4 linked regions of the Lepisosteus oculatus genome follow. The protein of the gene in region 1 purifies or fractionates together with the protein of each later gene. This does not show direct contact. Links are inferred from orthologs where the notes say so. Each region holds a gene or a part of one and is shown on either strand. Other genes may lie near its edges.

Region 1 (7,972 bases):
CTGGTTAGGAGTTAGGTAGGCTTTACACGCTGGTCAGGAGTGAGGTAGGCTTTGCACGCTGGTCAGGAGTGAGATAGGCTTTGCACGCTGGTTAGGAGTTAGGTAGGCTTTGCACGCTGGTTAGGAGTGAGGTAGGCTTTGCACGCTGGTTAGGAGTGAGATAGCCTTGCACACTGGTCAGGAGTGAGATAGGCTTTACACGCTGGTCAGGAGTGAGGTAGGCTTTGCACGCTGGTCAGGAGTGAGGTAGGCTTTGCACGCTGGTTAGGAGTTAGGTAGGCTTTGCACGCTGGTTAGGAGTGAGGTAGGCTTTGCACGCTGGTTAGGAGTGAGGTAGGCTTTGCACGCTGGTTAGGAGTGAGATAGCCTTGCACGCTGGTCAGGAGTGAGGTAGGCTTTGCGTTTCTTTAAGGCATGAGCACAGTTAGGTTTGCGCCACACATAGCACTTTGACTTTTGGCCGATCTTGGTCTGTCTTGGTCTCTTTGTCCAGATCTTAGCTGGATACCTCTTGTGCTGTCTGGTGAACTCCAGACGGGCTTTGAATTGTTTTTTTTGATGGGTGTCTTTCCTGCCATCCTCCCATACAGGCCAGTGATAAAGACCACAGCTCTTGATATAGCTGACTGATGCACCTCTACTCCACTCTCAGCCACTGAGCTCTGTAGGTCTTTCAGATTGATTGCTGGTTTCCTTCACAGGTCTGCTTCTTGTTCGGATGCTGAGTTCTGAGGAACAGCCTTTTCCAGGCAGTGTCCGGGTGGTGTGAGCACTGTTAGATTATTGAGCTGACAGTGCTCACTGGGATATCCAGGCACTGTGATATTTCTCGTACTCATTGCCTAATCTATCCAATTTTTAATCACTTTATCTCTGATGTCCTTAGAATGCTCTTTAGTCTTCATTTTCATGGCTTTATAGCTTTACTTCAGATTCACTGCCTGACCAATGATCCTGAAACACACTGGGGGTTTTATCCAGTAAATGTGACAGTCACTTCAGTAAGTGTGACAGTGACTAGGCAGGGGCCAATGGTAACACAATTGTATCCTTGTCAGGGCAATTTCATTCACCTGTGTTAATTCAGAGCCATGAGATTAGAAGGGCTGGAATACTTATGCAAGCAGCATATACACACCCGTATACAGTATATATACTGTGCACACTGTACACACAGTCTACTCTATCTATATACTGTGCATGTGCACACTGTACACAAACTCTCATTGTATATATATATACTGTGCACACAGTACACACTACTCTGTATATACTGTGCACAGTACACACACTCTACTCGGTATATATGCTGTTCAGTCTCTACACACTCTCTACTCTGGATATACTGTATACTGAAGGCATTGTGAGTACTGCAGAGCATAACTTGCCAGTGTGCACACAGTGTAATCAGTCCTTTTTCTGTGTCTTCCAGTCTGTGGCACGAGTACCCCCTGTGACCCAGCGCTGTGGAGAAGAGAGCGAAGAGTGAATGTCTTCAGTGTTACACACACCAGCACCTCTATTCCAGAGCCCTGCGCTCCTCTTTTATACTGGATTGTAATCACAGCTTTGACATAGTGATTGTTCAAGAAAGATTAAAATTTTAGATTTTGGAAACTGCATTTCTCATGCCTGGTCTGTCTCAGTGCAGTGTTAATGTCCTGTAGTGTCCAGTCAGTGTATCTGGACTGTATTAACCCCCTCTCTCTCAGTGGAGTGTAAATGTCCTGTGGTGTCCAGTCAGTGTGTCTGTACTGTATTAACCCCTTTCTCTCAGTGCAGTGTTAATGTCCTGTAGTGTCCAGTCAGTGTGTCTGGACTGTATTAACCCCTCTCTCTCAGTGCAGTGTTGATGTCCTGTAGTGTCCAGTCAGTGTGTCTGGACTGTAATAACCCCTCTCTCTCAGTGCAGTGTTAATGTCCTGTAGTGTCCAGTCAGTGTGTCTGTACTGTATTAACCCCTCTCTCTCAGTGCAGTGTTAATGTCCTGTAGTGTCCAGTCAGTGTGTCTGTATTGTATTAACCCCTCTCTCTCAGTGCAGTGTTAATGTACTGTAGTGTCCAGTCAGTGTGTCTGGACTGTATTAACCCCTCTCTCTCAGTGCAGTGTTCATGTACTGTAGTGTCCAGTCAGTGTGTCTGGACTGTATTAACCCCTCTCTCTCAGTGCAGTGTTAATGTCTCTCTCTTGCTCCTTCTCTTATTTTCTGTTCCATTACTCTGTTTTCATCTGTCCCCCCTTCTCTCTCCCTCCTGAAACATGATCTTCTACATCTCTCTGTGTTAAACCTATTCACCTCGAAGGCACTCATTAAACACTTCAGATTGATCTCTTTATCGCTCATAAAAGAAGGAGAATTTAAAATGAAAGAGAGAAGTATTTTAATGTGATGGTAACACCCATCTTCTTTCACAATCGTTCCTTCACACACACACACACACTCCCTTTCCTCTGCATTCAAACACATCAGCCTGACACCTTGTACTCTCAGAAAGCAGAGACGTGTTGGGATTTTCTTTTTTGTTTCCACTTAAAGCTTCACTTTTGAGGAAGAGTTGTGGGAGTGTGGAACAAGCTGCCCAGCCATTTTGTTGAAACTGATACCCTGATGTCTTTCAAGAAACATCTGGATGAAATTCTTGGATCAATTAACTGCCAATTATCAAAGAAGGCGAGATGTGTCAAATGGCCTCCCTTTGTGACTTGTGATGTTTTTCCGAGTATACTTTTACAAAAACAACGTAGTTTTCATGTACTGTAGAGTCCACTCTGTGTGTACTGTATTAACCCCTCTCTCTCAGTGCAGTGTTAATGTCCTGTAGTGTCCAGTCAGTGTGTCTGGACTGTATTAACCCCTCTCTCTCAGTGCCGTGTTAATGTACTGTAGTGTCCAGTCAGTGTGTCTGGACTGTATTAACCCCTCTCTCTCAGTGCAGTGTTAATGTACTGTAGTGTCCAGTGTGTCTGTACTGTATTAACCCCTCTCTCTCTCAGCTGTTTCCGTGATGCTGCTGGTTAAGACCTCATTGCCAGATGGTACAGTTTTGTGCAGGAGGTATACGTTAAGTTTAAGCAGTGTAGGACTGCTTAAAAGCTCTCCTGTTTCGTCCTTAATTGTGAAAGTCTCTGGTCTCTCTCCCCCCTCCCTGGTCTCTCTGTTGGAACAGGACTAATCCTAGATTACCAAAGCAAACAGAGTGTATCTGTCTCACTGTGTTCAGTGCCTCTTCTTTCTCTTCCTATTGTGCCCCAGTCATTCCTGAAGCATTAGCAGTGTTTGCTGGGTGATTACTTTAATACCTCCATGGCACCTCACTCTGACAACTGCTACACCAGACTGCACACATAGTGTGGCCACAGCTAGTGTGTGCATGGTGCAGGAGAGAGATTGTGTGTTTTGTGTGTACAGTATGTGAAAGGGAGTGTGTGTATTGTGTGTACAGGGTCTGAGAGAGAGAGTATGAGTGTGTATTGTGTATGCAGTGTAAGCAATTGTGTGTATATTTCACATGCAGTGTGTGAGGAAGTGCGAGGGAGTGTGTATGTATTGTGTGTCAGCAGGTGTGTGTGTAGTGTGTGTAGTATGTGACAGTGAGTGTATGTAGTGTGTGTAGTCTGTGTGTGTGTAGTCTATTTGTGCAGTGTGTGTGCAGTGTGTAGTGTGCATGTGTAGTGTGTGTGCAGTGTGCATATTGTGTTTGTGTAGTGTGTGTGGTGTGCATGTGTAGTGTTTGTGTAGTGTGGGTGGTGTGCGTTTGTAGTGTGTCTGGTGTGAGTGTAGTTTGTGTAGTGTGTGTGTGGTGTTTGTGTAGTGTGGGTGGTGTGCGTTTAGTTTGTGCAGTGTGCGTGTCGTTTGTGTAGTGTTTGTGTAGTGTGGGTGGTGTGCGTGTAGTTTGTGTTGTGTGTGTGGTGTTTGTGTAATGTGGGTGGTGTGCGTGTAATTTGTGTAGTGTGTGCCAGGAAGCGCGGTGTTTTTACAGAACAGTCCGGACAAACCCGCTGCACTGATCGCTACAGCCCGGCTGCTTTGTTTCCCCACAAGGCTAAAGCTTTCAGTTCACAGACCCCATGAATTATACATTCCTCCATCTTAAATTATATTTGTCTGTATCTTTGAAGTTTTTCAAACACTAGAGTGATTCTGTCCAGAAAAATATTATTGGACGTATTTGCGCCTCCCTGCGACACTGAACCGACAGCGGCTGCTCCGAGCACGAAAACCTCAAGCGCGGTCTATGTCTCCCTCTGCTGTCAGAGTGTGTGTGTATCGTTTATACAGTGTGTGAGAGTTATTGTGTATACAGTTCGTGTGTATTGTATATACAGTGTGAGTGTGTGTGTGGTGTATACTTCATGTGTATTGTGTGTACAGTGTGAGTGTGTGTTGTGTACTCAGTGTGAGAGAGAGTGTGTGTATTGCATATACAGTTTAAGTGTGTGAATTGTGTATACAGTATGAGAGTGTGTGTATTGTGTGTAGAGTGTGAGTGTATTGTGTGTACAGTGTGAAAGTGTGTGTATTGTGAACACAGTGTGAGAGTGTGTGTGCATTGTGTATCTAGTGTGTGTGTATTGTGTATACAGTTTGTATGTATAGAGTGAGAGTGTGTGTATTGTGTCCAGTGTGTGAGTGTGTGGATTGTGCACTCTGTGTAAGCGAGTGTTTGTGTATTTGTACACGTATGAGAGAAGCAGTTTGTAGAGCGTGTTTACTGTGTTGTCTCACTAAGCCCATATAAACTCTCCGAGGCCAAGACAGCGCCTCCACGGTCCCCACGGATTGTGTGCGCTATTACGGTAAAAGAACAACAATAACCATACAAATTTATGCGTTGTAAAGGTCGATAGTTCATATAGATTGTATTGGGTTTGGCTCGCCCTTTTCAAGCGGAGGCAGAGTAAAATACATTGCGCCAGTTCATTGTGTTATACGGCAGGTCGTAAGGAAGCGGAAGTCAACGCTTTGAGTTTCCGGCTCCTCTTCCGGTAGAGGCCCAGGTGGCGGGTTTGACGCGGGAAAGTGTCTTCTGTAACACAAGTAATCACGATTTCCGAAGACATTTTACAACAGGGGCACCGAAAGTTGTAAGTCCAAGAAGACTAAGCGCATGTCCTTTCATTTCTTCGCAATCGAAATTAACAGTTAAGAGACGCAGCTGGGGCACCGCAAAGCAACATTTTAAACCCCTTGTTATTTATGCGCTACGTTGTGTTGACTCGGCGTGGTGACTTACTGAGCGCCGGGAGAGGAGTCGTTGGTTTCGAATCGTGCCGGGCACTCGGAGCAGTACCATACCGCACCTCGTTGTTGATAGAGCCCGTTATTTCGCAGCTACAGACATTTGAAGTCTCAGTTTTTAACCCGTGGAGTGTCGCAGTGGAAAAATGGGAGACACTCTGGAATTTAACGAGATCTACCAAGAGGTGAAAGGATCGTGGGTGAGTTACACTGAGCTCTCTCTTCCTCTGCATCTCGGATTGAGAAATATTCAGTGGTGACGAGGGGCTTATAATTTTGAGAATTTTACTGTTGTTTGTAGTCGTAGGATATACTGTATATTCTCTCTCAGTGCAGTGTTAATGACCTGTAGTGTCCAGTCAGTGTGTCTGGACTTTATTAACCCCTCTCTCTCAGTGCAGTGTTAATGTCCTGTAGTGTCCAGTCAGTGTGTCTGGACTGTATTAACCCCTCTCTCTCAGTGCAGTGTTAATGTCCTGTAGTGTCCAGTCAGTGTGTCTGGACTGTATTAACCCCTCTCTCTTTCAGAATGATGGTCGTCTGCGTCTCAGTAAGCAGGCTGTGGTGTATAAGAACAGTAAGACCGGGAAGGTGGACAATATCCCCGCGAGTGAGCTGACAGAGTGCGTGTGGCGGCGAGTGTGCCTGGGTCACGGGGTGAAGCTGCTGACCAGCACAGGACACATCTACAAATACGATGGCTTTCGGGAAAGTGTGAGTACACTGGCCAGCCCCCTCACACGCCGCCAGAGATCGAGGACAGGGATGTTGTGCCGTATGGATTTCATGAGCAGGGTCTGTCTGGCGGAGTCTGTTAGGAGAGATGTCTTGGCTGCAATAGAATGACAGGGGTTATGCTGAGCGTGTGTCTCTAGTACTCTCTCTCTCTCTCTCTCTCTCTCTCTCTCTCTCTCAGTGTACAGCCCTGTGAGAAGACGCACTGTCAATTCAATTCAAGGTGCTTTATTAGCATGACCGATGGGTACAATCAGTGTTGCCAAAGCAAATGAAAGTAAAACAAAAAATAGAAGTAAAATAAAATCTACAGACATTTACAACAAAGACATATTATAAAATATTGACATATACTTTAGGCGGCTGGAGCATTATTGGGAGACAGACTCACCGTTCCTCAGGCTGTGACAGGAGCCTGGCCATAGAAACTGGGCGACACAGGCAGACCTGGCTGCCCGGAGAGGACAGGCTGTGCTCCCACTGCCAGCGGGGAGAAATGGAGACAGAGGTGCACTTCCTACTGCACTGTGAGGTCACTGTCTCTCTCTCAGTGTACAGCCCTGTGAGAAGACGCACAATTTAGTTCAATTCAAGGTGCTTTATTTGCATGACCAATGAGTACAATCAGTGTTGCCAAAGCAAAACAAATACAATTAACGTAAAACAAAACATCTACAGACGTTTACAATAAAGACACATCATAAAACGTTTACTTATGGACATATGGAGCATTATTGGGCTACAGGTTCACTGTTCCTCAGGCTGTGACAGGAGATCACATACTGGGCTGCCAATTCAACTGAGTTCCCTGCTCCCTCTCCCAGTAGGATTGGGACACTCTCTCATTGTACAGCCCTGTGAGAAGATGCACACATTAGTTTCCTTCCTATCTGTTATCGGGTTTTGCATTAGGATGTACAGTAGATGTTCGTAAACATCAAACATCTAAAGAACACATGTTTATTTGAGAAACAAGACGTCTTAATAGAGCTGCAGTCTTTTCCCAACGGCATCATGTAGCTCTGGAACGTGTGAATGATCTCTTCAGAGAAACAAAAATTGTCGTTCAGCAATCCTGGAGCTATTTGGACCAAGTTCAGTGCAACATACAGTCTAACAAGTTGATGTTGGTGTGCACTTACAAGTGGATGAGACCTCTGAGAGTTTTGTGGTAGATGATTTCTAAGGAAGCCCGATTGCTAGTGTACTGGTGCGGGCAGAGCACCTCCATCTGGATCAGAACGAGTCCGCTGTCCCAGGTTGGGAATTGTGGTCCTTCGTGTCCCCCAGGTGCCTGCCTCTCAGTGGGGTCCTTGTAGGTCTGTGGGCCTGGTGCCCCCCTGAGCTGATGTCATGCCCTCTTATGTCCGCAGGACTTTGAGAAAATATCGGAGTATTTCAAGAACAATTACAGGGTGGAGCTGATGGAGAAGGACCTGTGTGTGAAGGGCTGGAACTGGGGTACAGCCAAGTTTGGAGGTACGCCTTCAGGACAAGTACAGACAGGGTGTCATCACTGTTGTCAATTTCATACCCTTATGCAGGAGGGTTTAAGTATGAAAAAATATATACTCAGTGTGTGAATCTGTATCATACTAACCCTTCTCTCTCAGTGCAGTGTTAATGTCCTGTAGTGTCCATTCAGTGTGTCTGGACTGTATTAACCCCTCTCTCTCAGTGCAGTGTTAATGTACTGGAGTGTTCAGTCAGTGTGTCTGGACTGTATTAACCCCTCTCTCTCAGTGCATCCAGTGTTAATGTACTGGAGTGTTCAGTCAGTGTGTCTGGACTGTATTAACCCCTCTCTCTCAGTGCAGTGTTAATGTACTGGAGTGTCCAGTCAGTGTGTCTGGACTGTATTAACCCCTCTCTCTCAGTGCATCCAGTGTTAATGTACTGTAGTGTCCAGTCAGTGTGTCTGTACTGTATTAACCCCTCTCTCTCTCTCTCAGGTCCTCTGCTGTCATTCGAGGTCAGTGACAGTCCTGCGTTCGAGG
Region 2 (7,458 bases), on another chromosome or scaffold:
TCACATTCCACATAATGAAAGAATTGTCTACCGGATATGTTCATATCCAGTTGAAAAGAAAAAACAGATAATGAATTAGGCCTCATAACCAGACTGTGAGCAGAATAATCTGGAGACAATCCTGGATGTCTTTCTGAAATTAATAATGGGAAATTTATAATGAAAGAATTGTCTGCTTGAAATGTTCATATCCAGTTGAAAAGAAAACAAATATAACAAATTAGGCCTTATAGCCAGACTGTGAATTTCCCTTCTCTATTAGGCAACTGAAAACACCTTTCAGACATTGAGTCATCCCTTATGAGTAACCCCCCAATTCAGGCATTATCAGGGAACAAGAATTTAAATAAATTTACTTAATCCATGGATAAAGCTTGAACTAAAGATATGGAACACAGTTACAAAAGAGTATCACTTAAGTGACGCAGTTAAGGTACTCAGATACACAGGTGCATCCACATTAAGGAATTTAAACAAAAAAGATTGGATAATAGATTTAAAGTTTGGAGAAAAAAAGAAATAAGGGCATTTTGTACTATAATGGATAAGCTTTTAAAAGAGAGACACCATTTGGAGAAGCAAGAATTATAGATATTTCTAAGTGTGCCCTAAATCACTAGTGATATTAAAAAGGGAGAACTGTATATTGATGATGCAGTGGTGAAAGAACAGTAGTTATGGAAGCCTACAAATTGGAATCAAGTAAGGGTATTATATCTAGATTTTATAAGGGTTTTATGGAAAATGAATTACATTCTACGGATTATATAAAAGGTAAATGGGTGAAAGAAAGTAAAGTTAGGGTTACAAATGAAGAGTGGTTTAAACTTTGTGAATTTCAATAGAGATATACTACCTCACATTTATGGAGATAGTTTTGCTGGAAAAATGTTGTTTGATTCTTTATTACTCTGAGGCAGAAGGCACACCCTATTAGGGGAAACTCTAAATGATGGAGACATTGTGGAAACCAAGAAGGTAATCCCATATTTTGGGAGTGCCCCTAAAAAAGTATTTTCTGAACGGATTTACATGAGGCCCTGGAGAACTTATTTGAAAGGAATTTACTCTTCACATTTGAGCTGTTATATATTATGTTTACTTAAGGGTTACTGATAAGGTAAAAAAGACTACAAGAAAGTGGCTTCTCCTGGGTTTACCAATAAATGATGGGATTGAGTCAATAAATGAAATACATATAGTGGAAAAATTAATATTTTCACTTAAATTACAGAAGAACAAATATTGGTCTAGATGGGTTAATTAAGTACATTAAAACTTAGAAGTCTGAATTTGTTGAGATGCAGAATAACTGAAACCCGAATTAAGAATGAACGTTTACATACTGTTCTTGCTCTTCATAATAACTTACGCATCTTCTTTATTTTGAATATTAGGAGTTAGGTAGAAAGTGAGTGAAATAATTGTAAAAGATTACGGGAACAGATGAGAACAGACTAAATTCCTATGTATGATGTATATTTCCAAATTTGTTTGGTAAAAGGATGGTTGTTATGCAACTTGGACTGTTTTTGTCTGTTTTCTAAACTAAAAAATTAGAAAGGAAAACACCTTTCAGAACTAAATACAAACAGTAATCCGCTTGGAATACGGTGTAAAGCTTTGGTTGCTGTCTTATAAAAAAGCACTGAATTGGTCCAAAGAATGGCAGACAGAAGCATTCTGGGGCAGAACTTCTTAACCTTAAACAAAGACTACGGGGGGACCTGATCCAAGTGTTCAGAGTCCTGGAGGAAAGGGACAAAATCAACGCAAAGGACTTCATCCAAACCCACAGTGAAACCCTAACCAGAAGTCATGAATGCTAACAAGGCGGATGTGCACTGGAAACGGGGAACAGGGGCTGTTTTTGTATGCAAGAGTTGTGGACGTTATGGGACGAGCTGCCCAGCCATGTTGCTGGAGCCCGTAACCTGGTTTCCTTCAGGAGATCCCTGGACCAGTTAGCTACTCAGTGTCAAATGGGCCTGATGGCTTGAAGGGTCCCCTCTCCTTTGTAACCCTTCTGAGGTTCCTAAGAACATATATTATGTATCTTACTACAGCGTATATGTTAGAATACATAGTTTTAAAATAAATCTAAACAGATAAATAAAAACAATGAATTTAGCTACACATATTAACTTAAACAAAATAAATATAGGAAAACTGGCGACATGATAGCAGCTAACAAGATGCGACAATAGCATATAATAATAAAAGAAGAATAATAATAAAAATACATAGTAAATTCTTAGAAAAGTCAATGAATTGCATCAACAAGGACAGACCACAATTGGCAACAAAACAGGTACAGTGTATACTGTATAAGTTCAGGTGGGTAGCTGCATCAGCATGTGTAGGCTGCAAAGGAACAAGTAATAGGTTTACTCCATGCTGAAAAAAAAGAAGAGAGAAAACACAACGTTTCAGCAGTGGAGCCTTCTTCAGGTGCAAGCCTTCTTCAGCCCTCACACCTGAAGAAGGCTCCACGGCTATTACAGTTTATATAATACTAGAATACACAGTTGACCATGTACTGTATATACTGTAGAACAGAACAATTAAAAGATAAGATAGGGTGATTGCTGGAGGGTCCAAGGCTCCTCTGTTTCTAATGTAGCTCTCTTATAGTTGCCATTTTCAGTTCAGCGTCATATCTCCTCACATGAGAGGACATGGTACAATTAAATCTTCAACAGGATAGTGTGACAGAGTCGCAGCTCAGAAACCTTTGCAGAGGCTTGCCTGGGACAACAGGACAGGAAAGAAGCCCAGGAGGGGAGTTCAACCTAGAAAAATTACCAAAGGAACTGTGGAAAAGACTGTTGTAGATGCAGTTTTTAATTTTTCAGTTCAGAAACATTATGTGGAAAGAAAAGGTGACAATGACAGCTGACACATGAAAGGAAAAACTGATGAAAATGTGGTATGGTACCTTGAGTAAGACATGGATCTGAAGTTTCTTTGGTGTCCCAAAAAGAAAGTAGGCACAGCACAGAAACAACGCAGTTCCATCCTTCAGGCTCATAGAACTTATGTTGTTATAGGTGGTGGAATTGTAATTCTACTTTCGACAAAAATCCTAATCCTAATGATAATAATAACAATAACAAAAATTAAAAAAACGTAATTTTATATAGTGCCTTTAAAGGTGGCTTCTCAAAGCGCTACAAAAATCCTAAACTTACTCTCAGGTAAAATCTTATTAAAATTAGAAAGTAAATATCCTGAATTAATGTGATGATACTGCCAAAGTCCTGATGTAAACACTTTTGAAGAATTATATAAATATAATTATATAAATATAACTTGACAGGACAGTGCAAAAAAAAAGCTCTTAGCCAGCTTCTAAACTGGTGTGATGGGAATACCTTAAACAAATGCTCCTGTGATTATGGGCCATTTCATGAACAATCTTTACAAAACAACTACCTGACTTTTATTGCATTGGATTCTGAGAAGATCACAAAGTTTTCATTTTGTGCTTTTTTCTGCTTGTTTTAATTTCTTTAATATTGTCCAGGTGACCCCGTAACTGTGACTGCCTTTATACATGTGCTGTATATATACCATATATGTTTACAAACATTTCTCAGTGTAACTGTATCCACATTAAAAACATGCTGTGTGTTTTGCACTTCTCTAGGTAGTTGCTTTTCCTGTTATTTTCAAACTGTGTTTTTTTCTATTTGTATGTCCCTTTCATATACAGCATTGAAGGATTTAATCTTTTGAAAGTAATCAGGAAGACCCTTGAGGCACAGTTACGTCAAGGGATCGCTGGGGTTAACAATTGTTCTGCTGGCATTCCTCAGTGGGTATCAGTCTGGCCTTGTCTGAAATGGTTGATCAGTTTATCCCCATGACCCATTCTCATAATGTAAATATACGCGAGAATACTTTTTTGTTATGGAACGATAATTTCATACGAAACATAAAAGTGTATGCTTCTATAAGCAAACTCTTTTCACCCTCAATCAGAAAGCGATTTCTTAAGGTGAGACTTCAAGGGCAGTTTTAATAGGCTCTATATGTTATCACAAAAGACCTGGGAGGCGGGATGGGTAACTCGAGTGTTAATACTGGTTCAGACATAGATACTCAGTGAACTGGGGCTACGCAGCGCCCAACACGGAGCAGGGAGACGTATCACCCGGGTGTCCGTCTGACTGAAGTGCGGGAAATGGAGAAAAAAAAAAACACGCCGATTTGAATTCCTTCACAAGCGTAGTCAGGCTGGAGAACAGAAAGCTACCATCCTTCCAGCCGCGCCAGCCAATGGTGGTGCACTATCTTCTTTGGCAATTGTTTCCAGGGCAGTGACACCGCCGACACCCCCTCCTCCGCGCGGCCTCTCCTTTCTCCCAGGTCCCGTTCGCGAGTCGCACTCGCGCAGCTCCCGAGTTAGCGAGCGCCGGCGTGACGTCACGGCCCGGGGTTTCCACTCTCCGGATAGGCAGAGTGTGTGAGCTCGACGGCGTCATGGCGGAGGCCGGCAGAGAGAGGACCCGTAACTGATCTGGCTGCAATCAACAATCTTTCGATTAAAGAAAGCCCGTGCTTCGGTATCGAAAGGAGAAACTGGGGAAAAAAGCATATTAATACCTCCCCCCGACCCTTCTGGCAGCCCGGAGGAGGAACCCTGAGGGAGCCGGGCTCTTACGAAACCCGAGTTTACAACCGAGCCGAAGTGGTACTCAGCAGCTCACAGCGACACAGGACCTGGCAAAGAAAACAGAAATTGTTACAAAAAAAGGAGCCCGAGAAGTCGGACGGAGGCAGGCGACCCAGGAGGTACAAAGCGAGGCGCGACTCGCGTGTATGTGTGTGTGGAGGGAGGGGGGGGCTGAAAACGCGGGGAGACGAGCTGTGGGGGGCACGGTTGCCCCCAGTCAGCTCGAGAAAGGCGACGATTCCTGGGCGCCGCGAGACGGACGTGCACGGGGAAGAGGGGACAGCGGGCTGGCGCGTGCGGTGTGTCAGTATGCGAGCGCGCGGAGGACGGGGTCCGGGCGGCGAGGCGGCGCGGGGATAAAAGAGCCGATTGTGCTGGAGGGCAGCGGGGGGAAAACAGGCTCCGGACTGGGGGGTCTGTCACCCCCGGCTCACGGTTTTTAAAGTGGGAACCCGAGGAAGGGATGGCATTTTGTTCCTGGCTTAATGCGATTAACGAAAATCGGCCAAACTTTTTTTTTTTCCTCTTTAAAATGTGCACCTTCTGAAGTAAGTTTTTTTTTCCTGCTCTGGTAAGGTGCTGGCTTGCTGTTGAGAGAAATATATATATAAAAACAAACAACAACAGACCGAATACGTTGTAAATCAAACGCTTCTCGAAGCCCGTCCGGTTTGCCCACCGCGGCGGCGGCGTGGTCTGCCCGGCTGCGCGGCTGAGGGCGCCGCTCCGTGCTGCCGGTCGCCGGCGGGCTGCAGGGAGGATGCGGGCAGAGGCGCTCCGGCGGGGATCTTTGTTCAGGAGAGTCCGCCTCCAACTCCAGCACGCTGCAGGCCTCGCATCTGGGCCTCTGCGGTCTAAGAGAAGGTTGCATCGCATCGTTTTAAGATTTGGAGACCGGGCCTGAATTACCCACACATGTCTCTTACTTCTAGCCGTTTAAGACTTGGGTTTCGTTGGGGTTTTTTTTTTTATCCGAACGATCAGTTCGACTGCGGGTTGATGTTTCTGACAATTGTGGCGGCGGCGGCGGCGATGGTGTGTGTGTGAGGGGGGTGTCCTCGACATGATTCTTGTAAATAAACAGCAGAAGTGTTGATGTGAAACGGAGCCCGTCGCGGTGCCGGGGCGAGCTGGCGAGCGGATCCTAGGTCAGGGGGAGCCATGCCGAACTGGAAGGGCGACAGTGCCGACAGGAACGCGACGTGAGTTTCTTCTTGATGTTTGCGGGTGTTTTCACACGCTCGCAGGAGCAACAGCTGAAGTTGGAAACGGGAGCGGTAGCAAAGCGTCGCTTCCACGACGTCGCTCGCAAGAAGTGCCCAGAAGGAGCGGAGCGACGGCAAGTTGATCCGCGGCGGTTCTGCCGGAATTCGGGGAGGCACGTCCGGGTCTCCCGTTAGGAAGATGGACATGAAGGCATGTCCCTTAGTTACATGTGTATAAAATAATTGCCACGGAAACGGCTCGTTTGTTCTTGCCTGAATAGTATTTTACTCTTCATGGAGGAGGGGCGGTGATAAAAGGTCAAGACGTCGCTAATTCGAATGAAGGTTGAGCCCCAGTACCAGTGTTTCCCCGAGACGGGGACCAGCGGAAGGTCTGTCCCCGGAGGGGCCGGTGACTTCGGCTCTTGATTTGGTGGGTGTTCAGTCGCCGGTGGCGTTCAGTGCAACACTACCGGAGCAGACCGAGCAAAAAAAAAACAACACAAGTACCGTGACAAAGCAGCTGCGACTCGGTCGTGTGATAAACGTGTCTCGCCCACTTTCTAGGCTACCCGGAGCCGCTGAGGAGTCCTGGATGAAGAAACCGCAGTCCCTGTAACGCTTCAGTCATCAAAAGTGGTCTGGACCCGTTTGCGTTCTTCGAGCACCTGGCAGAGAAGGCCGTGGAACCGGAGCTGTTTCCGATTTAAGAAATGGATGGGCGCAGCGACGAAGAAAGTGTGAGCAACAGCAGTGGGGAATCCAGGTACGGTATCGTGTCGTCTCTGTCGAAACATCGAGTGCGCTGCTTGAAAGTGAAGAGCAGGAGAGGCACTGCCTGTGCTTTTCTTCGCCTTTTAGAGTTTGGAAAGCGCAGCAACCACACATTTTAGCCTGTGTAGTGTAAGGACATACGTGATGTGCTGTGTGAGGGAACTTTAGTATAAGTCGGTGTAAAGGAAAGGGTGAAGGAGCTGGATGTTGGTCCATGAAGATATGGAGTTCTGGCTCTGTACCTGTGAAGTGTGCAGTCAAGATCGGTGGCACAGAATATGCACCTAGGAGAGTTGAGTTCCGGAGGTGTGGAGGTAACAGATAACATCAGCAGTCTTCAGTCATATTGGTAAGGCATACATTGGTGGCTTGTGACCCTGGGAGGTTTTCTTGGGGCCTGGCACTAGCAGCTCTGCCTCTTAGTTTACTGAGCTTTAAAAGCCCAAACACTCTGAATAAGGATAAAACTATGGCTTTGTTTTAACGAGAAAGTGTTCAAGGAGAAATATGTGGGACAAGCTCTTTATAACTCGTTTTTGTAGCACCATAATGTAAAATCTTAAGGGTTGATGTTCTTTAAGTGCTACACTGGAATTACACTGTCAGAAAATGTCTTCAATTCAACTTTATTGTCATTAAACTTACACAGGTGCATAGTATAATGAAAAGTGTTTCTCATTAGTCACTCAGGTGCAGTATATAAATAGGACAGAAGATAAGACAATAGACAGTTACACAATAGCAATAACAGTAACATGTAATAACATAAATAACATGTAATGTATTTTACTAATAACTAAC
Region 3 (7,551 bases), on another chromosome or scaffold:
TCTTCACAATGGGCAAAGTGCAAACGTTAGTCTCATTTCCTTCCAGGTGATCCTCCCCCAAATATACAGGGCTGTTGCAGAAAAGGGGTCAATGTGATCTTCAGGAATTCTAAAGAATAATCTTAAGCCCTTCCTCATGAGGAGAAAGAGAATGGACCCTCCATAGGAACGGAATTAAAAGGCATAAAACTTTTCTGACCAGAAATCAATTTCAATTAGGATGGAAATAACAGTTCTACACTGTGAGCTTTTCCTCTTTTAGTTCTGAGACACTATGTTAACGGTACACAACAGTACCTTTTCTTGTCATGTATAATAGCGATATAATACTCAGAAAATCCACTCCCCTTTCTGGACACCTCTACTTGTTAAAGATAATGATAATGTCGCTTTATTAGCCCTATTCAATTTCTTGCATTAGGAATTTGTCTTTGCGCATACCCCAGCTTGCTCTCCATGAGACAGACAGGGAGAGAAGCTTGGGGTCAGAGCGCAGGGTCAGCCATTTATACGGCAACCTTGGAACAGTTGGGGTTAAGGGTCTTGCTCAGGGGCCCAACGGAGTAGGATTTCTCTGCCGGCTGCGGGATTTGAACCGGCAACCTTCCAGTCACAGGCACAGATCCTTAGCCATAGAGCCACCGCTCCGCCCTATGACACTGGTCTATAATGTGATTAAATGAACTCATGTCATTCTCAGACAAGACCTGTTACTGAATGTGCTCTGGGCACCGGAAGATTTAGTTGGGACTTTCTCACTCACTGGGCTACAGGATCACTGCTGACTTACCATACAGCAGCCCCCTTCTTAGACGCCCCCCCAGTCCTCTCTCCTGGTCCCGTCTCCTCATGGCTTCCTCGGCTGCGGCTCGGGCGCCGGGCGAGAGCTCCGACAGATCCTCCTCATCGTCCAGCCCCTCCTCCTCGTAGCGGTCCAGCTCTGGAATAGCCCGGTAGTCCCTGCAGACAGACGCTTAATGAACTAAAACGTTGCTTTTGGAAGCATCAAAAAAGTGATCAAAGTCTCTAAAAAAAAACACAAATTCCTGCAATCCCTTTTATTGACCACAAATATGCACAGAATAATTAAGAAAGGTTTTGGTTGCTGTAGTCCTCTAATTCCTGGTAAAACAAGGCATTGCTCTAAAAGCTATAGAATGCTGAACAGTATTAACCTGTAGGATCTTTTAATACCCACAGCTAAAATTGCAGTTTTCTTCCAACAAAGATTCCCCACATGTGCCGTCACTAATGCAGTGATACATCATTAGCAAAAACATAAGCACACTATAATTCTGTTTGCCATGATTCACAATACTACACCCTGCAATACCTTTTTAAGCTTTTCAATGCATTAGGCTTATTATATATCCTGCAGCTTGCTAGATCACTGTCCATCCTATAACGCAACTAGTTTTAAATTAACTGAACTCACTGTTCTACTCCACATAATTGAATTATTAGCTGTCGAATAACATACACCAAACACAAAAATAACAGTACTTTATAACTCCGACAGGATCTTTCCAACGCCATTACATTTGGTCTTAAACTCCTACAGGAAAGTACTGCCCGATAGGCAATTTAACTTCACCTCTGTGGTGATTTCAATATTTTATGCCATACTCCAAAAGATAACGCGAAAGAATGCACCGCGCTGTAATTACCTGCTGAAATGCTACATGCCAAAGCGAGATGCATTTGTTGTGCACAATGATCGCGGCAAAGCAGTCAGCGCAGAACTCACCGTTCCATCCCATCCCCGATCAGCTCTTCTCCATCCTCCTCCTCCTCCTCGGGGAGGGGGTCCTCTCCCAGCAAGCCCTCGGACTCATCCTCGAAGGGGGGCAGATCTCTGCCGGGGCTGGACGTCAGATCACCCTGCCGGGATGCCTGGCTGGGACTAGTGGCAATGTTGTAGGACTCGGAAGAATCCTGGGAACGAGATGAGCTCAATTCAAATTCTGTTGGTTGGCATCTAGTTGTTGTTGGGTTTTTTTTTTACACTACAGGACCAAAAAGTAATGATGAATATATGAACTCCTACAAAGAACCCTAAAAAAAAAAAAGCAATGGACTAGACACTGTAGAAATTTGATATTTGGCTCCTCCTTTTTACATAACCCAGCGTTGTTTGCGTTACCGAGGGCCGTCAAGGACACCAGGAATTAAAAGTTGAAATGAAGGCACGCAGATTGGACTAAAATCGCCTTCTGAACACTAATGCTTCTGGAGTTTGTTTTTCCAACATCTTCATCAGTCACCGGCGAGCAGGGCTCAGTCGAACAAGTGTGCTCAGGGAGTTTCTACCACACAAAGAGCAGCGCACTGTCTCGAATGCTTCTGTAGTTCTACTAACCACAGTTACATTTTGAGGATGATGTTCTAAATTACATCATTAAAATAATGGGAACGCCACTTTTAAAACATCCTTCCTTACTTTAGAACGTAAACCTCAGAATGACACAATGAAAACCTTTTCACCTCACTTCCCACTAAAATCCAAAAGCCGCGTTAGACTACACTTGCTTTAAAATTAAAAATATAGCAACGTTTCTTAAAAAACTCATAAACACAACCGTAAATATTTTAAAAGTGATTTTTAACTCTGAATCCAGACACCACATATATATACACCGTATATAACGTTCCGGTTCACCTCCTATCCTAACAGTATTTAACAAAGAATGATTCTTACAAAACCTATAAAGCAAGCGTTAACCCAAACGACTGCTTTTCGAGTGCAAAATAACTCAAGCTTAAGGTTTAGGACATGAAAATGATTTCAAAGCCTAATAACAAAGCTCAAATTCCTAACTAAACCGAACGAAAAAAATAGATTGTAAATCTTCTCCACTTCAAATATACACGATAATTTTTTTAAAAAAAGTGCGATTCACTATCGGTAAAACAAAAATAATTCCATTCTCTACTTACGGCCATTCTGTAGCTCCTGGTACTTTCTCTCTCCTGCAAGGAAACTTGCTGTTTCTCTCTTTTTCGCGCGAAATGGCCATGTGACAGCAAAGCGCGCGAAAACGTATGAATATTTAATTTAGAACTACGAACGCATTTTCCGATTGGTCCATGACTTATAAATATTCATTAGTCACGGATATTGAACCCATGTCCGGCCACTTTTAGTCCAGCCCAGGAAATGGGGGAGGTGCTTAGCAAGTAGCTTTACTTTAGCAGATTCGTTGCGCTGCTGTTAGTTAAGACACGTGTTTTCCAATACCGTACTTTTGATAGGAGTGCGTCCTTTTTGTACTGAAAAACACTTATATTCTTTAAAGGCAAGATCTGGGGGTTGGTTTCGCATACTCTGATTAGCGTAAGAACACCGGACTACATTAGTGTAGCCTAACATTGTTTAGTAGGTTTAGGAGTTTTATTACTCAGTTCAAAATTATTATTTATTAATTATTTATTAATATAATTATTAATTATTATCTTCACAGAGAGATGGACTTTACATTCACCTCCACTTACCTTTCTTCGTACGTTTTACAAAACTGAGATGTTCTTATGGCATGGTTGACAAAGTATTCTAAATGGAGTCATTCAGTTTTGTAGGGATGTCATAACTGTTTGTAGAACACACGTTTTATATCACATATCACCCTCCAATCACTTTACTTCATGTCCATTTCCAGAGCAACAGTAGGTTATTGTAGTCTTATCTCCCCGTAGCAGAAGATATTTGACATGACTTCATATGAATGCAGATCCCTGTTTCAATATGAAGTTCCCAGGCTGAAGTGATGTGAACAATACTCATTACTGGGTGAAACAATCAGTTCCGTGGGATGCCTGTACCATACAGATTTTTCAGATGTAGCGTATTTATGTAGTTGTGCTTGAACCTGTTTTGATTTAATACAGCATATTCCAGCATTGTCACCTTCCATATTACACTTTTGTTGTATCATGTATTTTTTTTATTCCTCTCACAGTCCAAGGACATACTGGTAAGTTAATTGGCTCCTCAGAAAATCGGTCCTGGTGCGAGTGTGTGTGTGTTTGTGCCTGTGTATGCCCCTGAGATGGACTAGTGTTCCATCCAGGGTGTATCTTTTCTGGCACCTATTGCTTGCTGGAGTAGAATCATGACCCTGTATTGCATAAAGTGGTTAGAGTAATGGGTTAATGGATTTCTTTCAATTTAAATTGTCTGCACAGCTCTACAGTATAAAACATAAAACACAAATATTTCTATTTTTATCTGACAAGAAAAGACTCACTGTAAAATGTATATATGCATAGATGTGTATTTCTTTGGATTGAAGGTTGATATATAGTGCTGACATTTTTTATGATTTATTGGCAAAAAAATACTGTAAAAGTATTTGAGCAGAATTCTGAACGTTATTCCAAACATATAAAAGACTCAACTGTGTTGTACTGAGTTATGTATGTGTATTGGTGTTATTTCTACTTGAACTACTTGGCACATTAGTTTCTCTTTGCACATACTGTATGTTGTTTTTTAGGCTAGGGCTAAAAAAAATCAACTATAAAGCAAAGAAGTCCCAAAACAGATAACCAAATTATTTTTCCAAAGACCTAATCCTCCCCCTTAAAAAAGTATTCTGATTTTTTTAACACACCGTTAATGCATACCTACTATATTACCTGGGATTACTTCTGACTTAGTTTTAAGAATGTTTCAAATGCACACACACACACAAAATAATGTTACTAGCTTTTATTTCAAGAATGATTTAACAATGTTTCACTTTTGACATACCAGTCTCTATTGTGAGATGTTTCATGTAAGAGATTCACAGAAGATGATTCATTATCTAGTGCTGTAAATTGATTATGCACATACTAATTGAAAGGAATAGTCAGATTATCTAGAATTCCTCAATTCTGTTTCAGTTGCTTTTAAAGATGAGGTACAGCACAGGAAGTGTTAGTGCAAAAGCAGTGTATGTTAAAACTGTGTTGTACATAGTGTTCCTGTTTATTTGTGCCTCTAGTCTCTTTTCTGATTGGGTCAATTCCAGCATGATGCCCTCTGTATCATAGGGTTGCACATCCTGGGACTTTAAAAGCTGGTTCTCTGTTGGGCGAGACCTAATGACCACCTTTACTGTTTGGAGCTCAGATGCCACCTTCCCCATCTCATGCTCCAGTTTTCTTAACTGAGGCTGGATGCCTTCAATCAAACCATGGATCTTCTTGCTGAAAAGCAACTGTTCTTTTAAGTCCGAATCAGAGGCACTTGGAAGTATCTTGATTGCAGCTGTCCCTGCCTTATCGGCTGGCTTTGGTCCTTGCAAAGTGCCCCTCAGGCTATTAATGAGACCGCCGAGCTCCTCCTGCTGAGACTCATGTATACTGGCCTGCACCTTAATTGCTTCCTGGAGGCTCACAGGTCCCTTCTGAGCCTCCAGGAGGAGGCTTTTCAACTCCTGCAGACGGACTCTGTTGATGTAGGTGGACCCCAGCACTCCGATCAGGGCCCCCAGCACCGAGCCGATGACGGACCAGTTTTTTGTCCTTTCAGCCCTGGCTCGCTCCTTCTCGTGGCTCTCCCGCACCCCGGCCGAGAACAGGGCAAACTTCTCCCGCTCCGCCTCCTCTGCGTTCCTGTAGGTCGTACGGAGGCGACGCTCCTCCTAAAACAGCGAAGCAAAATGAAGCACAGGGTTCCAGAAGTTAATTAAGATGAAAGTCAACCCCTATTGTCTTAAATTACAAAAGCACACCTCCCACCCCCCTTTAAATAACCCAGTGTGGAATCAGGTTTTTTTTTCCCCGATCCTGTCGTTCTGGCGTGAAGTCTCTTCCAGATTTCCTTTCTTGGGGCTCTAACTGAAAAGAGTGCCTTCAAAAAAAATCCCTCAATGCCCTCCAGAAAAATCAATCTGTCAAAAGGTAATGGCAACAAACATTTCCTCAGAGGAATGTACATAACTAGCACCAACGGACAGACAATGTAGGTCACAGAAGAAGTGGTGTTCAGAAATGGCGGAGAGCCAGACTAGCGTGTCGCAGTGAATGACACCGCTCTGAATGTAGCTCCTTAGACACGGGCTTTCTACTGTACTTATAAATCATTTAATGCCGGGCTCCCGACAGCACAGTTCTGCAAAAAAAGCGCCATGAAGTACGAAAGCAGACAGGGAAACCGAGACAGCAGTAATAAGTGGCGTTTTAACATCAAGCGAAAAGAATGACGGGCTCGCCCACCTGCAGCAGCTTGTGTTCCAGCGTGGCGAGCTCCAGGTAGTGCACCTCTTCCCTGGACACGCGGTCCAGCCGATCACGGACCTCCTTCAGCCTCACCTGCAGGGCCTCCAGGCTCTCGTGGGCTTCCCGCACGATCCCCCTGGCCACCATGAAAGCCTGCTCCGCCTGAGAAACCCAGAAACCCTCGCTCATTTTCCAACTCACGAGCAGCTAACTGAACCAACAGGTCCAGGCTAGCCTTACAAACGTCTATTATCAAAAGCAAGGAGGAAAGATTTGGTTTTCCCCACTGTTGATGGACAAGCCAAGTAAACACCCGAAAGGCTATACCACATTTTTTAGAATTAAAATAGGATTCCTATAGGAGGGTATGTGAAGAAGAAAAAAAAAAGTGTAATATAAACACTTATTAAAAATGTTAATTATCAAGGTTAAGAAAATACATGTTATATTTACAAATAACTAATGTTATATGAGGATGACGTTCTGCTTCTTATTAAAGGTATTGGTAGGGTATGTAAATGACTACTATGAATGTTGGTGGTGTGCCGTATAAGACTGAAATAAAGACAGGGCAATTGACTTTTCCTTTTTCTGAAACATTTTTTGAGCTTAAGAATCAGTTAATTAAGCCCCTGTCATAGGATTCCAGGGGATCTAATATCAGAATCTATAAATCTACTGGTCTTAAGGTGCTTTTGAGAGCAGTAGAATTATAGAAACCAATCCTAGGGGATTATTTCATTACCATTTTTATTGTTCTACAGTGAAATGTTATTTGAAACATTTAGCATTTGGGTAAAGAAAAGATACAACCAAGGTATTGGGAAATGAACAGTTGAAATGCTAATGGCTTCTTTATAGGTAGCTTGTATATTATACAAAATTTTAGTTACAAGTTAAAGGTTTAAGGTTTACTATTACTTTATTAACCAAGGTCTGCACAGTGTCTTTGAATGTTTCTCTTATAAACACCTTCACATTATGTAAAGACAACAGCCGTAGATACATCCACAGTACATCTATAAATGTATGACCCAAGCATATTAGGTAAGCGATGCAGCACAACTGTCTAACATCATTTAACTGAAAAAGAAATTGTGGTATACTATTTGTTTAAATAAAAATAAGCAATTTATTTTTAAATCCTATTTTTATGTTTCACTTTTTATCATTGTACTGCTTTTTTGGGGATTTTTCTTCCAACATTTCGGCAGAACTGTAGAAAACGTGTTCCTTTATTTCTCAGTACTAGTGTGCAGTGTAGTTGTAACTTCCCCCACTTACCTCTGTGACTTTTGCCTGTGCATCTCGGACTTCATTCAGCCCCACAAACTCCTCATATTTCTC
Region 4 (7,806 bases), on another chromosome or scaffold:
GCCGGTCAGGTCTGCAGCCGTGGCCACACCCCATCACCCCTCCTGGGGGGGGAGGGATCTGGGGGACTCGGCAGCACCACCTGCACCGCCCTGCGAGACGCCGTGAGAGCCCCTTCTAACCCGCTGCTTCCCAGCACGCTTCTGCAGCAGCGCCTCCTGGACAGCTGTGTTGTTCCTACATTAGGTGCGCGATAAAACTACCTCATACTGCAGCGTGCTAACATTTTAAACACCCTAAAATGTCATTGGTAAGGAACATTCTGGATTTCTTCCATCTCCAGCATCATTTCCAGAAAAAAAAGGCGTGTTCTGTATAACGGAGAAAGAAAATAATATGCAACTTGTTTAAAAAGTTCGGAACGTGGGCAGGAGATCTTGACACGTCTTTATAATAAATATAAGACACACCTCTCCTGAAAACCATGCGGCTGCCTGCAGCTTACACTACCTCTAATGCGACTAAATTAAAAAAAAACCCTGATCAATCTGATAAATTACAGGGATGCTTCTGAAGTAAAACGCTGAGCTTTTATAGACGTCTATCGATACCTTTTTGCAATAAGTGCAATATCGCACAATAATGGAAAGGATAACGAACGCGGAGGTGTCCGGCCACCGCAGTCGAATTGAACCCGACTCTGCAGTTCAATCAACAACACAAACAGCGTGGCCGCTGGGAAGGACATGGACGCGACAACAATGTTTCACAACCTCCCAGTTCACAGTTCACACACAGTGGTGGGACGGTCAAGTTCATCTTTGTGCCTCTTAAAACAACACCCAGCTGTATCCTGTAACATCTGCTTTTCGAGAGACTTACACTCGGATACCGACCAGACTGTAAACGGGTTTTGAAGTCTGTCATACAGACGGCGGAGTTCATGAGAATCGAGAGACAGGGGCAGCGGGCGGCAGGCACGATATGTGCAGCAGCTCGCTGGGAAACACATGCAAGAGACGACGGTGCCCATTTAAACCGTGGTAACAGTGTCAGCTTTGTAGCAACCCGAAAAATGTTAAAAATGTACAAGACAGAAGCAGACGCTGCGCTGAACCCATCAACCGATACAGAGTATATACACGTCCACGGGCACCGACAGACGGGGAATTACACGATCTGCCCCCTCGTTTAATTTCTCTGCCAAGAAAAAAAAATCGGCACATTGAAAACGTTTTAGGCACTCAGCTCTGCTGCCGTTTTTCGGAACTTCGACTTGCATATGACAAAACATAATCATTACTGGCTGTGCTCTCTTCTCCCCACCTCCTTCTCGACAAAACGATGAAAACCCCTCCGACACCTTACCATCGTCTCACGGGCTCGTCTCGGTCCTTCGGAGCGCTGGCTGCCTCCCCAGCCCCTTCTGCAAGCCGCGTGTCTTTTATTTAGATGGCAGATCCCTAGTTAACGTCGTTCCCCCCTCCAAAAAAAAAAAAGTTAAGAAAAAAAACTTCACAGAGCCTGTTCGAGTTGGGGCTGAAAGTTTGCGATCTGGTCCTGATTGGAGTGACTGGAACGCAGGTCCGGAGAAGGAGCCCGACATTCCACCTTAGGGAGACTTTGAAGTTTCATCGGCCACCCCCCCCCTTCTATATATGTTGGCATGTGCGTGCGTGCGCGCCTTCAGTTGAAGACGAACGCCCCTACCCGCACCCCACATCGGCTGTCGAGAACAGAAATACATTTACGATTTTTAAAATTAAAAAAAAAATCATCGAACCGCCGAAAAAAAATCGAAAAGTTGCACCTTTCCCAGACGCGGGAGCATAGCAACCACTCGCAACAGCAAAACGCGTGCATTGTAAGAAAAAGTAACGGTAAACTCTCTAAAAACAAACAAACAAACAAACAAACAGAAATGCATCAGGAGAAGGGGAAAGTTACCTTATCTGCTGCTGCTGCTGCTATCGTGAACGGGGCTGTCCTTCAGCCACCCAGCTCAGCTCAGTGCCTGCGGCCGGGGCTCACGCCGGTATGAGGCTCCATTTTCTCCCTACAGTGGGCTGAATTAGGACGCTGTGCTCAGTTGGACACTTTCTGCATCGCTCGCATTCCAGGGGGAGCACGTGACGCCCCCGGATCACGTCAGCGGCCCGCGCGCTCGCGGACTGGGGGGCGCTTCTAGCGCTCGAGCGCGGCTTCGTGACCCAAGAAGAAAAAAAAAAACAAAACAACCAAAAACCCCACAGACGCGCAGGGCGCCCCGGGAAGCCAGGAAGCCGACTGGCAACACGCCCGAATGTGTGTCTTTCTGTTTTGTCACCCCCCCCCACACACACACACAAATCCCAGTGTTTAGGCTGAAGTCGTTATTGAGCCGCAAAGGAACAAGTTTTAGGTTCATTCCCGGCTGAAAAGAGAAGGAAGACAACACAACGTTTCGGCTGTTGAGCCTTCTTCGGGGGGTTATTCAGCCTGAGCAGATCTTAAAAATCAGTTGTTGGCTATAGAAATCGCGTCAGCTACAGATAACTAAACGTTCAGTTCATAGCTACAGGTGACTGTACATTTGGTTAAACGTACAAGGCCCCAGTAGCCAAAGTACAATTAAAACCCAGTCTTAGACGTAATAAATGAAGGAAAAACAAACATGCACTAGGAGCGGCAACCCCAAAAGTGAACGAGGGGCAGGTTGGTGAAGATCACCTCAAGACCCGCGTTAATTTCCTGCCATTTTAGCCAACATAACGCGTAAGAAGAAGCATCAATAACGCAGGACAGGATGAAACAGTCGCTAGGCTCCGGTTACTGAGGCTGGAGGGGTGCTTATTGTTTCAGATCTAAGCGGCCCAGAGCACTAAGGAGTGAAAATGTGCCGCTGGAAAAGCGTGTTAGAGTGCAAAGCAACCGACTAACATCGAGGGAAACCGACAAACGGCTTCCTTGTTTCAATGCTGTCATTGCGCTCTGGACAGTAAATCTAAGGACGAACCGTTTTGTATTGTTTTAAAACACGTCCAAACATCCACATAATTATCACGCATATTAATTCACGCACAGAGCGCTTTAAACACCATTGAGTTAACTCATCCAGATTAGATTTGAATAGCCTGGTCACCAGGACAGCCTCTTCTGAATCGGCTAGTTTGTGACAGCTTCTTCCAAGTGACAGTTTTGTTGTTTATAATTTCTTCCCACTGACCCTCTGTACCACAGTCCCCAGTGTCTCTCAGCTCCTTTTAATAGCGCTGCGATCCGGTTCGTCACGCGTTGCATGAGCAGATCTTGCTAGATGTACAGCTACAAGGAGAGCTGAGGAATTCAGTGTGACAGACGTGTTTGCGCCTGAATTACGTCGGATTATATCTCCTGGTAGTGATGCGGATCAGCTGGAAGACCGCGTTGTGTTAGAAAGTGAGCTATTATCTTTGTGACCCGTGGACCCGTTATGAGGTCCCACTGGGAAACACGACACAGGTTCGCAGACTCAGCCCGTCAGGAGTTACAGTCAAAGAGCCGCAGTACAGTCGGGGGGGGGGGGGGGTCTGACTGTAAATATGTTTCCTCCCTCTTTGTAAACCAGAGGTACAGTATGGAAAGGAAAAAAAAGCAGAGCAGATATTCTTTTCTTATCTCTCTACAGACCAGAGTGTCTCAGTGCATTAATAAAATTCAAAATGTTGAAGTACTGAATAAAACATAATAAATACCTCTATCAGTTCCACAGAGTGTTGAATTGCTTCATCTACGGATTGCTTAATATCATTTTTTTTTAATGAGTGACTCTTGGATGATCTCAGCCAGTAAAAACCTTCCGTTCAAAACTGAAGAGATGGACGTATTTTTCACAGAAGCAGGAAAGCGGACACCTACTGTAGCACACAAGCCCTAAGGAATGGCCTGGGCTGGAATATCTTGAAAGCACACATTGAAAGTCTCGACACAGGTAAAATAAACACAAGAACAGAATGGATACGGGCAAAAGGAGGCTTGTTTGGTTATTAAAAGCAAATTGACCTGGGAATCTTATTTAGCCTTCTCTTTAAAGAAGCAAAGTCAAATACACGCAACTACCAAAATAATGGAAACACCAACAATATGACATATTAATAACATCTTCAATGGTACATACTGTAATACAACTGCACTTTACAAAAAAGATTTAACAAGATAAGTAAAGATAAGGAAAAACTCTTGGGAAAAACTAAGGTTGCTGCTGGAAGAGGTGTTAGTGGGGCCAACAGGGGGCGCTCACCCTGTGGTCCATGTGGGTCTTAATGCCCCAGTATAGTCAAGGTCCTGACTCTCTGTGGTCATTAAAAATCCCAGGGCATTTCTCGAAAAGAGTAGGGGTGTAACCCCGGTGTCCTGGCCAAAATTTCCAATCGGCCCTTACCAATCATGGCCTCCTAATAATCCCTATCTATGAATTGGCTACATTACTCTGCTCTCCTCCCCACTGATAGCTGGTGTGTGGTGAGTGTTCTGGCGCACTATGGCTGCTGTCGCATCATCCAGGTGGGGCTGCACACTGGTGGTGGTGGAGGGGATCCCCATTACCTGTAAAGCACTTTGAGTGGAGTGTCCAGAAAAGCGCTATATAAGTGTAAGCAATTATTATTATTATTATTATTATTATTATTATTGTTATTATTATATAAGGTCCGCACAGCTGTCATGTTCTTACTGTTAGAAATAATCACCTTTAACCTAAGCACTTCAGAATAAAAAGGGTGTGCGCCTATTTTAGTCATTATACGATACGGAGAAGTCGCATTTTGATTGGCTCCATAGCCTTTAAGCTCATTCGCGGGCTACGTATCCTGTTACGTCATCACGACCCGTGGGTTGAACCGGAAGTTATACTTGTGTTTGTACGGGGTCGGCGTGAAGACGCGGGGGCGCTTTCTGGGAAAATGGCTGTTGAATCTCGAGTCACTCAGGAAGAAATCAAGAAAGAACCCGAAAAGCCCGTCGATAGAGAAAAGGTGAGTTGTGTTAAGCCGTTTTTGTCTATCGAAGATGCGCACGCACGGTTTGAGTGGTGCCTTGTATTTTGTTTTCTGGAAATGTGTGGAACGGTGTTGTGTTGGTCTCCATTAAACGCTTCAGTAGGTATGTGCTGTGTAAAACTGTGTTTTCATTTCGTGTTTCTTCGCATTTTGGGTAGTTGTACAGTGTCTCCCTCAAAGACAGTGAGACTTATTGAGTTTTCAGTTAAAACGATTTACTTTCTCTTCCTAATTGCTGCCAAACGTGTGCGATGCGAAGCAATACGAGTTGAGAAAACGGCGATAAAGTATATGTTTTTCTCACTTTCTTTCCTTAGTGAGCAAAATATACTTAAAGGTCATTTATTTACTTACAACGCGATGAATGTAGATGTAGCTAGCAAGTTTGTAATGCATCTTTTGTGAAACACGATGGTGAGCAGATACCACGCTTGAGACCACCTATCGGTTTCCCGCAACTGAAAAAAGCTAGGTACTTATTTTTGTTGTTTTGTTTGCAGACTTGCCCGCTGCTGCTGCGGGTGTTCACCACGAACAACGGCAGACACCACAGAATGGACGAGTTCGCCAGGGGAAACGTGCCCTCCAGCGAGCTGCAAATCTATACCTGGTAGGTCTGATGACACTTCACACCACGGGGCTCCCTGCTTGGGCCGGGGGAGCCCCACCCCAGCAAGTTGTTTTATAGGTCATCATAAAATAAGCAGTTTCTGAAGATATGGACCAATTCCACTGTAACCACCCCTGGAGCAGCTGGGGTTAAGGGCCTTGCTCGGGGGCCCAACGGAGTAGGATTCCTCTGCCGGCTGCGGGATTTGAACCAGCAACCTTCCAGCCACAGGCACAGATCCTGAGCCATAGAGCCACTGCACCGTTAAATTAATTTAGAGATATTTTAGGACTAAAATCTATGTACTTCTCAGATTTCAGGGATTAGTTATATTAATGATATCCTTACACCTATATAGCTCTTTTCTGGACACTGTACTCAGTGCTTTGCAGGTAATGGGGATCCCCTCCACCACCACATGGATGATGTGGTGGCAGCCAGAGTGCTCCAGGCTGCTCCCCACACACCAGCTCTCAGTAGGGAGGAGAGCAGAGTGATGAGGCTTATTGGGAAGCCATGACTGGTAAAGACCAGGGGGAAATTTGATCAAGACATTGTGGTAACACCCCTACTCTTTTTGAGAAACACCCTTGGATTTTAAATGACCACGGAGAGTCAGGACCTCGGTTTATTGTCTCATCCGAAAGACGGTGCCCATTTACAGTTTGGTGTCCCCGTCACAGACCCACACAGAACGCAGGGTGAGCGCCCCCTACTAACACCTCTTCAGCAGCAACCTGAGCTTTCCCAGGAGGTCTCGCATCCAGGTATTCGCCAGGCTCACACCTGCTGAGCTCCACTGGGTTGCCAGCTGTGAGTTAAAGGGTGATAGAGCTGCTGGGTCTCTGTTAATTGAACAGATTACTTGCTTGGTCAGTGTTGTCTTACAGTCTTTAAAAAGAAGTTGAGCAGTACTGGGGCTCTCCAGGACCAGCTGGACAGACTAACTGACCAGAAGAACAAAGCTGTTCACCTCTGCAGGTGCCCAGACCTGTTGCAGAGCCCTGATCCGAGAGACGTGGGCCCTGCGCTATCAACACGCGCCATTGGATATGGCATAGTTGTGGTGGTACTCAGAAGGCCAATGCTTTCATCACAAGCAATGAAATGACAAATGTAACTCTGTTGGCCTGCTTGTTTTAATATGCCAGGTCGAATTCAACCGGAACGCCAAACTTTTCAAAAACTACAAGAATGATCTTGCAGAATCTGCTGCCAGCTCCCCTCCCACGACCGTGGAAAACCTTAAGCTGTGCTGAAAGTGCAAATTTATTGTCTTGAGGTGACATTAGCCAAATATGGAGTAGTTATGTTTATTTTTCAAATGTTCTCCTGCTGTTGGAGCTGAAGTTAAGTGCTGAGTCTTAGCTTCCGTCTTGGGTACTTTAAAGAGTAATATTGTCTCAAATAGGATGGATGCTACCTTGAAGGAACTGACCAGCTTGGTGAAAGAAGTCTATCCAGAAGCTCGGAAGAAAGGCACGCATTTTGGCTTTGCCATCGTGTACCCTGACCCTAAAAGACAAGGCTACAGGTAAATACCTTGAGAAATACCGCCGTTACGGGCCGAGCTTAAACGCGCAGCGGCTGTGTTTGAACTGTGACACCTAAGATGATCTGCCCTTGGTCCTGTAGAGTTAAAGACATTGGGAACACGGTGTCCGGGCGGAAAGGAGCAGACGATTCCATGACTCTGCAATCGCAGCGGTTCCAGATAGGAGACTACCTAGACATTGCCATAACGCCGCCGAACAGAGCGCCGCCCCTGCCTGGACGCATGAGGCCCTACTGACCGCCGGGGACTGCGGCCGCTACGTTTTATATCCCCTGTGTTTCCTATTAAAGCCTTTTTTTCCTGCCTTTCCTGATTTAATTAATGTCGCTGTAGCTTTTTTTTTCTGGAAGCGTTTAAGGAAATTTAGTTTGAAAGCTCCTTTCATTTTTTCGTGAATTTTAATTTGCGTTGGATTTGGTAATTCAATTAAACGATTTCTGTGAAGGTGTTTTTTCTGAAAGAAATCTCGTGTGGGGAGTATGACGTTTTTTTAAAGGTGGGGTTTGTGTGAGCGTGCGTGACTGGGTCACAGGTGTGGAGTAACAGATTTACAGGAATTAAAACTTTGAGATTAGACCCTTGAGGAACCTGGTTTGGTGTTATACTGCTATTCGTCCTTGATCATGCTAGATGGCTGGTCTGGTTGATCACACTGTGCCTTGGTCTCTGTTAACCCCTCCAAACTTAA

What was found.
Region 2: the proteins of FACT complex subunit SSRP1 (region 1) and chd1 purify together in Homo sapiens (affinity purification with mass spectrometry; 3 studies listed by BioGRID and IntAct, with this or other methods). This does not show direct contact. The link is inferred for Lepisosteus oculatus from reciprocal best matches to the Homo sapiens genes SSRP1 and CHD1.
Region 3: the proteins of FACT complex subunit SSRP1 (region 1) and mcm2 purify together in Homo sapiens (affinity purification with mass spectrometry; 6 studies listed by BioGRID and IntAct, counting the BioPlex papers as one, with this or other methods). This does not show direct contact. The link is inferred for Lepisosteus oculatus from reciprocal best matches to the Homo sapiens genes SSRP1 and MCM2.
Region 4: the proteins of FACT complex subunit SSRP1 (region 1) and sap18 fractionate together in Homo sapiens (co-fractionation; 3 studies listed by BioGRID and IntAct, with this or other methods). This does not show direct contact. The link is inferred for Lepisosteus oculatus from reciprocal best matches to the Homo sapiens genes SSRP1 and SAP18.

Annotation. Positions count from the first base shown.
Region 1 is NC_090701.1:42,561,190-42,569,161, forward strand, and holds the start of FACT complex subunit SSRP1, read left to right. Parts: upstream 1-4,960; 5' UTR 4,961-5,386; coding exon 5,387-5,440; intron 5,441-5,768; coding exon 5,769-5,954; intron 5,955-7,348; coding exon 7,349-7,454; intron 7,455-7,927; coding exon 7,928-7,972. Other genes in the region: pold4 (DNA polymerase delta subunit 4), read left to right, coding at 1,433-1,457. UniProt on the Homo sapiens protein: Component of the FACT complex, a general chromatin factor that acts to reorganize nucleosomes. The FACT complex is involved in multiple processes that require DNA as a template such as mRNA elongation, DNA replication and DNA repair.
Region 2 is NC_090698.1:55,020,230-55,027,687, reverse strand, and holds the start of chd1 (chromodomain-helicase-DNA-binding protein 1), read left to right. Parts: upstream 1-4,443; 5' UTR 4,444-4,797; intron 4,798-5,145; exon of another isoform or gene 5,146-5,226; intron 5,227-5,791; exon of another isoform or gene 5,792-5,880; intron 5,881-6,210; exon of another isoform or gene 6,211-6,316; intron 6,317-6,450; 5' UTR 6,451-6,596; coding exon 6,597-6,649; intron 6,650-7,458. UniProt on the Homo sapiens protein: ATP-dependent chromatin-remodeling factor which functions as substrate recognition component of the transcription regulatory histone acetylation (HAT) complex SAGA. Regulates polymerase II transcription.
Region 3 is NC_090699.1:59,492,446-59,499,996, forward strand, and holds the start of mcm2 (DNA replication licensing factor MCM2), read right to left. Parts: upstream 3,014-7,551; 5' UTR 2,944-3,013; coding exon 2,938-2,943; intron 1,936-2,937; coding exon 1,748-1,935; intron 961-1,747; coding exon 791-960; intron 1-790. Other genes in the region: ccdc51 (mitochondrial potassium channel), read right to left, coding at 4,881-5,627, 6,202-6,366, 7,489-7,551. UniProt on the Homo sapiens protein: Acts as a component of the MCM2-7 complex (MCM complex) which is the replicative helicase essential for 'once per cell cycle' DNA replication initiation and elongation in eukaryotic cells.
Region 4 is NC_090710.1:31,923,645-31,931,450, forward strand, and holds sap18 (histone deacetylase complex subunit SAP18), read left to right. Parts: upstream 1-4,796; 5' UTR 4,797-4,857; coding exon 4,858-4,929; intron 4,930-5,453; coding exon 5,454-5,563; intron 5,564-6,974; coding exon 6,975-7,097; intron 7,098-7,198; coding exon 7,199-7,355; 3' UTR 7,356-7,582; downstream 7,583-7,806. UniProt on the Homo sapiens protein: Component of the SIN3-repressing complex. Enhances the ability of SIN3-HDAC1-mediated transcriptional repression. When tethered to the promoter, it can direct the formation of a repressive complex to core histone proteins.